Callithrix jacchus: one gene and its partner. The main gene of each other region encodes a partner of the protein of the gene in region 2 in a complex. Links are inferred from orthologs where the notes say so. Each region holds a gene or a part of one and is shown on either strand. Other genes may lie near its edges.

Region 1 (3,500 bases), on a different chromosome or scaffold from region 2:
CACTCAATCTCTAAGACTATTCAAAAACCTGTGCTTGCAATTGTATATTCAAAGGTGCACATGACATATAAAATATCTGAATTAAAATTTCTACAAAATATGCATTTAGAATGTCATTATTGATGATTTATAGTTATTCATCACTATGTATGTGTGTAACTCACTGCTTATCTTGCTTTTAGAACCTTTTGCCCAGAGTAGCAGCCAAACTTGAGGTTGCCCCAATTTCTGACATCATTGCAATCAAGTCACCTGACACATTTGTGAGAACTATTTATGCAGGTGAGTACTCAAGGAAGATAATTAACATGTTAAATTTTAGTGAAAAGCATAAATTAATCTTGAAGGTAGAATTTTAAATCAAGCCATACAGTTGCTTTAAGTGGACCATCTTAAAGGTTTCTGAGGAAAATTTTAGTCTAGAATTGCTGATGGACCCTTGATAAGGCATTCTCTCTGATGGATCACAAGCACAGTGTTTACCTGCCTGGTCATTCAGTTTGCAGAGTGATATTTTCCTAGTGGTCAATAAAAATTAGATTCACTATTCAATATATTTTGTAAGTGGCACCTGGATAAACAAAACTTTAAAAAAAGATAGTATTCTCTCAGTCTTTGCTGCTTCTACCTCATTTCCTTCTGCATTAAGAAATTCATTTCAGCCAGCTGCAGTGACTCATGCCTGTAATCCCAGCACTTTGGCAGGCTGAGGTGAGAGGATTACTTGAACTCAGGAGTTCGAGTCTGTCCTAGGCAACATGATAAGACCCCCATCTCAAAAATAAAATAAAAAATTAGCTGAGCATGGTGGCATGTGTCTGTAGTCCGATACTTAGGAGGCTGAAGTGGGAGGATTGCTTGAGCCAGAAGGTCTAGGCTATAGTGAGTTGTGATCATGCCATAGCATTCTAGCCTGGGCAACAGAGCAAGACCCTGTCTCAGGCAAAAAAAAAAAAAAAAGATATGCATTTCATTGTCTCTTCAGTTGTTTGATGTTTTGCTAAACACAGTGCTCTCTAGTGGGGTTGGAGAAGGCAGTGAACTCTTCGTTTTTTTTCTGATTAAAGTTGTATATTTCATTATAAATGGCTAATTCTCAAATCAGAGTTTTCATCTTATGTAATGTTTGTGGAAAAATATTTTGTTGTAGTTTAGGTTACTGTTACTGTGATAGCTAATCCAGGGTGTCTCAAATCCTCAAAATCTTGGCACATCCATACCTTTTCTTTATGACTCATTGTGTTTTCAAGGTATTCCTCCTTTAGCTTGCATAGTAGCTATGTTCTTATTAGGTTGTTGCAGCTCATAGTTTTGAGTTACTGATTGTATTGTATTTGGAAAAGGAAGCTTTGTTCATATTCCTTTTAGGGGTGTAGTGTGCCTTCTTAGTGTGGCTGCCTGTTGCAGTTTCCTCCTCCTCGGTGTGGTAGTACTTGCCCTGCTTCTAAAGACATCCAGGGTTATACAAATATCTATTGATATGTTTCTTCACTGTTATGGTCCACTTTTTCTTATACTTAATAGAGTTAGAAAACAACTTGTCAACGGTTATTTCTTGCCTTGTCTGTGAAGTAAATTCCAAGCATCAAAGGAATACTAGTTTTGTTGCCTTTTGTTGTTGCTTTTTAAAAATAGATTGCGTGTTTCAGGAAATGCTGTATGTACAGTGAAGTGTGATGAGAAAGTGAAAGTGTTTTCAGTCCGTGGAACATCTTTTGAAGCTGCAGCAACAAGTGGCGGTAGTGGCAGTTCAGAAAAGGGTGAGTGTTCATTTGGAGTTTTTTGGTTTTGTTTATTTTTTTCATAGACTAAATAATAACAAAAGAGATGACCTCTGCTTAAATTTCTAATGCATAGTATTTTAAAGTTCAATTTAAATGATATTCCCAAGTTTGTACAAAAATAATAAATATATATAACTTACATCTTTTTCACATCATCTTTGATACTAGGATAGTTGCTTTGGTAGATCAAGGAAGTAGGAGACAGAGGGTCTATTAATATTAAGCTTTTTTACTCTTGTCACTGTTTCCTATTATGATATTTAGGTGATTCAATATAACAGAAGAATGTAATAATAGTAAATGTGTAGAGGGTGTTATGCTTTAACATATACAGTGTCTTATTTAAACCTTATAGAAAGAAAGTTATTCCATATTCAGACTCAGAGAATTAAATGTGTTCTCAAGTAATACAACTAATGTGGCAAAGGCTGGAATCTAGTCTCGTTAAGTCTTTCCATAATCAGAGAGAACGAATTAGGAGCATAGAAAATTCACAGTAATTAACAAACTTAAATTTCATGGAATTACATACTTGTGTGTTTTTCTGAAAAATAATTATTGTCATGGAAGTTGAAATCATAGTCATTGTTTTATGTGTATTAATGTGTGCAGCATCAAGTACTTCACCAGTAGGAATATCAGAGTGGCTTGACCAGAAATTAACAAAAAGTGATCGACCAGAGTTAACAGGTGCCAAAGTGGTGGTATCTGGTGGTAAGTGGAATATTAATCTTAAAATATGTAAACTGAAAATACTTTGTTTTGTTTGCTTGTTTTTTTTTTTAATATTAGAGGTACATGGATCTTTTTCAAATATAAGAAATTGAGAAGTTTCAGCTATTGTTCCCATTTAACCAGTTAGGAAAATGAAATTATGAACGTAATACACAGTTTGGGTTTCTGTTGCACACCTAGTCACTGGCACCAGGGGGAGCATGGTATAAATCTCATCTCTGTAGCTTTGCCACTTGGTACCATCTTACTGATAGACTTCTGTGTATTCTGCAGAGTATGGTTGGCTTCTGAATTGTAGACAGAACTGGTTGGAATTTCAGGACTTGTGTATAATTCCTCCCTTTGTTCCACTTGGAAAAATTTCCAGAGTTGCCCATGTCTGTGTATAACTCTAAAACGTTACTTAACATGTAATATCAAAACTGTTAATATTGCATAGGACATGCTTATTTTTGTATACCATGCTCCTTGTCTTTAAAAACAATGGTTTTTTATGGCCCACTGACTGACTTTGAAAGCATAAGGACTGCTGTGCTTTTTAAATCCTTGCAAATTAAACATTCAACAAAATAATTAAGCTTTCAGACAATCTTTATTAAAAGTGGCACTGAGAAAAAATAATATTTTGAAATGATGTATCTGACTTGGTTTTTTGTTTTTTGAGACAAAGTTTTGCTCTTGTCTCTCAGGCTGGAGTGCAATGACATAATCTTGGCTGACCGCAACCTCCACCTCACAAGTTTAAGTGATTCTCCTGCCTCAGCCTCCTGAGTAGTTGGGATTACAGGCATGTGCCACAATGCCCAGCACCTGTAATCCCAGCACTTTGGGAGGCTAAGGCAGATGGATCAGCTGAGGTCAGGAGTTTGACCAGCCTGGCCAATAGTGAAACCCCATCTCTACTAAAAATACAGAAAATTAGCTGGGCGTGGTGGCGAGTAATATAATCCCAGCTACTCAGGAGGCTGAGGCAGGAGAATC
Region 2 (3,500 bases):
AGGGCCTGAGGCAGAAATGAAGTCGGAGGGATGAGGGCCTGGCCCTCAGCAGGTGCTCCCCACTCCAGCCTCACCTGTGGCCAGTCAAGAAATCCAGCTGTCATCTGCCCCGTCTGGTTACAGTCATCATCGATGGCCTGAATGGGGAGAGACAGAAGACTGTATGACGATCAATGGAGCTCACGGACCATTCGGGTCTTTGTCTAGTTTTTCTTTCTTTCTCTTCTTTTTGAGTCTTGCTCTATTGCCCAGTCTGGAGTACAATGGTGCAGTCTCGGCTTACTTCAACCTCTGCCTCCAGATTCAAGCAATTCTCCTGACTCAGCTACCTGAATAGCTGGGATTACAGGCGTGCACCACCATGCCCAGCTAAATTGTATATTTTCAGTAGAGACAGGGTTTTACCATGTTGGCCAGGCTGGTCTCAAACTCCTGACCTCGGATGATCATCACCCCCTTGGCATCCCAAAGTGCTAGGATTACAGGCATGAGCCACCACACCCAGCGGGTTGGTAAACTTTTTCTATGGTGGAATAGATGTAGTAAATATTTTAGGCTTTGCAGGTCATACAGTCTCTGTCACAATGACTCAGCTCTGCTGCTGTGGCACACAGGTAGGCATAAATAATATGTAAATGAACCTATGTGGTGATGTTCCAATAAAGTTTTATTTATAAATCAGTGGTAGCTATGGGCCATAGTTCATTGACTTATGTCTAAATCCCCTCACTTGGGCCCAGAGATAAGCAGCCACTTGTCCAGGGGCATGTGGGGCCACATGGCATCCCTGTCACCAAATCTCTGCCCTCTGTATAAAGCCTCTCAGGAGTCCTGCCCTGTGGCCCCTGGGCAGCTGGATGAAGAGGATCTGGGCTGGCGAGGACCTCCTAGCCCTAATCCTAGTGATTGATTCAGGGAGGAGCACATTACTCAAGCTGCACCAAAGAAGAGTCAACCCTGGGAGCTTTGCTGGAGCCCTTGGCAAAGAGGCTCCTTTCTTTCTGCTGGGGTCACTGGGCTGGTGGGATCTGAGCCTGGAGATGCAGACATTGAAGCCAAGATAGAGGGGAGCCTAGAGCTCATGTGGGACTCTGGATCAAGCTGTGCCTGAAGCACCTGATTTACATGAGATCCCCTGAGGAGGGATGGTGTCCCAGGGTCTTCTGAGGGAACAGATGAGCCCCATGCACCTCTGCCCCAGTGGAGAGCACCAGTGTGGCAGAGGAGATTCTGGTCGGGTCCTCACCCAGCCCTAACCTTCTTCACTAATTCCTGGCCTCCAATCTCTGCTTCCAGTCCATTCTCGAAGCCCAAGGGGGCTCTTTCTGCATCTAGTGCTGATCCCCTCCCTATTCTGCTCATAGACTTCCCATAGCTCCCCAGTGCCCTCCAAAATTCTCAAGTCTCCTGAACCTATATCAATGTCTCCTGGGCTCTTCACACGCCCCATGTAGGATCTGCCTGTAACGTCCTGTTCTTCCCAGGTTTCCTACCTGTGTTACTGAGGCAGACCCAGGCACTGTCCTTGCCTCCTCCCTGCCCTCCCTCCCCATGGCTAAGCCCAGTCTCTCCTGCCATATCATGTCTCTGCTCTGTCCCATCAGGTTTGGCCCAGGCCTCATTCTCCCCAAGTGACCATCACCTTAGTCTCCCAGTCTCTAAACTCACCCAAGAGGATCTTTCTCTTTTTTTTCTTTTTGAAAGAAACTCTGCCCCCAGGTGATCTTGTATCGTTGCAACCTCTGGCTGCCAGGTTCAAGTGATTCTCACACCTCGGCTCTCAAGTACCTGGGATTATAGGCGCCTGCCACCATGCCTGGATAATTTTTCTATTTTTAGAAGAGACAGTGTTTTGCCATGTTGGTCATGCTGATTTCAAACTCCTGACCTCAAGTGATCTGCCCACCTTGACCACCCAAAGTGCCTGGATTAAAGGCATGAGCCATCGTGCCTGGCCCAGGAGGATCTAACACCTAGAGGGACTCTGTCCTCCCTACTCAAATTCTCTATCAGAAGGGACAGCAAAGTCCCAAGCTGCTCAGCCTGGAGTGGCTGAATGCCCTGGGCCTGGCCACCTGCTGTCCCATCCCACATCCCCAGCACCCTCCTCCTGAGCAGGGATGAGCCGGGGCACAAGGAGGGGCTGACCACAGCTACCTGCTTGCCCAGCAGCACCAGGTCCACCTTCTCCTTCTCTGCCAGCTTGGCCAGGACCCGAGCCACCTGCAGGGGACCCAAGCGTTCTGCTTCTGCCGGGGGCACCTCCACATGGATACCTCGGTCTGCACCCATGGCAAGGGCGGTACGAATAGTCTCCTGCCAAGGACAGAGGAGCCTGACTTGGCTACTATCCCCAGAGGGACCCAGGAATCTGGACCCCATCCCCTCCTCCCTCAGACCCAGGAATCTAGCTTCCATCCCCTCCTCCCTCAGACCCAGAAGTCCAGGCCCCCAGCCCCTCCTCCCTCAGACCCAGGAGTCTGGCCCCCATCCCCTCCTCCCTCAGACCCAGAAGTCCAGGCCCCCATCCACTCCTCCCTCAGACCCAGGAGTCTGGCCCCCATCCCCTCCTCCCTCAGACCCAGAAGTCCAGGCCCCCATCCCCTCCTCCCTCAGACCCAGGAGTCTGGCCCCCATCCCCTCCTCCCTCAGACCCAGGAGTCCAGGCCCTCAGACCCTCCTCCCTCAGACCCAGGAGTCCAGGCCCTCAGCCCCTCCTCCCTCAGACCCAGGAGTCTGGCCCCCATCCCCTCCTCCCTCAGACCCAGGAGACCAGGCCCTCCCCAGACTCTGAGCACCTGGCACTGTGCAGGCCCACAGCCCCTCCTCCCTCAGACCCAGGAGACCAGGCCCTCCCCAGACTCAGCACCTGGCACTGTGCAGGCCCACAGCTGACGGCGATGACCTCCTTCAACAGCTTCTTCTCCTTGAGCCGCACAGCCTCCTCCACTGCAATCTCGCAGAAGGGGTTCATGGAGTGCTTCACACCATCCGTGACCACACCCGTCCTATCAGGCTTCACTCGGATCTGCTCAGCAGGAGGGCAGGAGGCGGGGTCAGGAGGAAACAGGCCAGAAGGTGGGGGCCTCCGTGCCATCTCTCTCCCAGGTTAGAAGGGGACAACAGTCTGGAAAGGGGCAGGGCCTTGTCCAGGGTCACACAGCTTCAGGGACAAGCTGGGTTAGAGCTTGTAGGCAGGGGCAGGTCACCCTCTCTCCTCCTCTCATCCAGCCATTCCTGGGTACCAGGGACATCTGACATGATCATCCCTACTCTGTCACTGCTCCTTATCAGGCCTGAAAGAGTGGTTCTCAAATTTACAGTATTTACGGTTACCCAGAGTGAGAGGTGCATTTTTCCATATCCCCAAGTGTATATAAAGACATAACACACTGATAAATAAATACAAATGAGGAGAAGAAAAGGAAAAATCAGTTAGGTAGACAGTAAAGCCTGGTACTCGGAGAAGCAGCCTGCCTGAAAAATCATAGCTACAGGCA

The links.
Region 1: the proteins of ETFB (region 2) and ETFA are in contact, whole or in part, in a crystal structure (PDB 2A1U), measured with the Homo sapiens proteins. The link is inferred for Callithrix jacchus from reciprocal best matches to the Homo sapiens genes ETFB and ETFA. Residues at the interface, in NP_001976.1 of Homo sapiens: Ile14, Tyr16, Val18, Ile20, Val22, Val29, Thr31, Phe41, Leu102, Arg106, Lys124, Gln125, Ile127, Asp128, Asp129, Asp130, Cys131, Asn132, Gln133, Gln136, Met137, Ala139, Gly140, Phe141, Asp143, Trp144, Pro145, Gln146, Thr148, Phe149; in NP_000117.1 of Homo sapiens: Glu27, Leu88, Pro89, Glu90, Ser113, Ala114, Phe115, Lys117, Asn118, Pro121, Arg122, Ala124, Ala125, Lys126, Glu128, Val129, Ala130, Pro131, Ile132, Ser133, Arg146, Thr147, Ile148, Tyr149, Ala150, Gly151, Asn152, Ala153, Leu154, Cys155.

The regions. Positions count from the first base shown.
Region 1 is NC_133509.1:24,723,954-24,727,453, forward strand, and holds part of ETFA (electron transfer flavoprotein subunit alpha, mitochondrial), read left to right. Parts: intron 1-182; coding exon 183-282; intron 283-1,649; coding exon 1,650-1,760; intron 1,761-2,396; coding exon 2,397-2,498; intron 2,499-3,500. UniProt on the Homo sapiens protein: Heterodimeric electron transfer flavoprotein that accepts electrons from several mitochondrial dehydrogenases, including acyl-CoA dehydrogenases, glutaryl-CoA and sarcosine dehydrogenase.
Region 2 is NC_133523.1:44,945,457-44,948,956, forward strand, and holds part of ETFB (electron transfer flavoprotein subunit beta), read right to left. Parts: intron 3,029-3,500; coding exon 2,870-3,028; intron 2,317-2,869; coding exon 2,158-2,316; intron 138-2,157; coding exon 75-137; intron 1-74. UniProt on the Homo sapiens protein: Heterodimeric electron transfer flavoprotein that accepts electrons from several mitochondrial dehydrogenases, including acyl-CoA dehydrogenases, glutaryl-CoA and sarcosine dehydrogenase.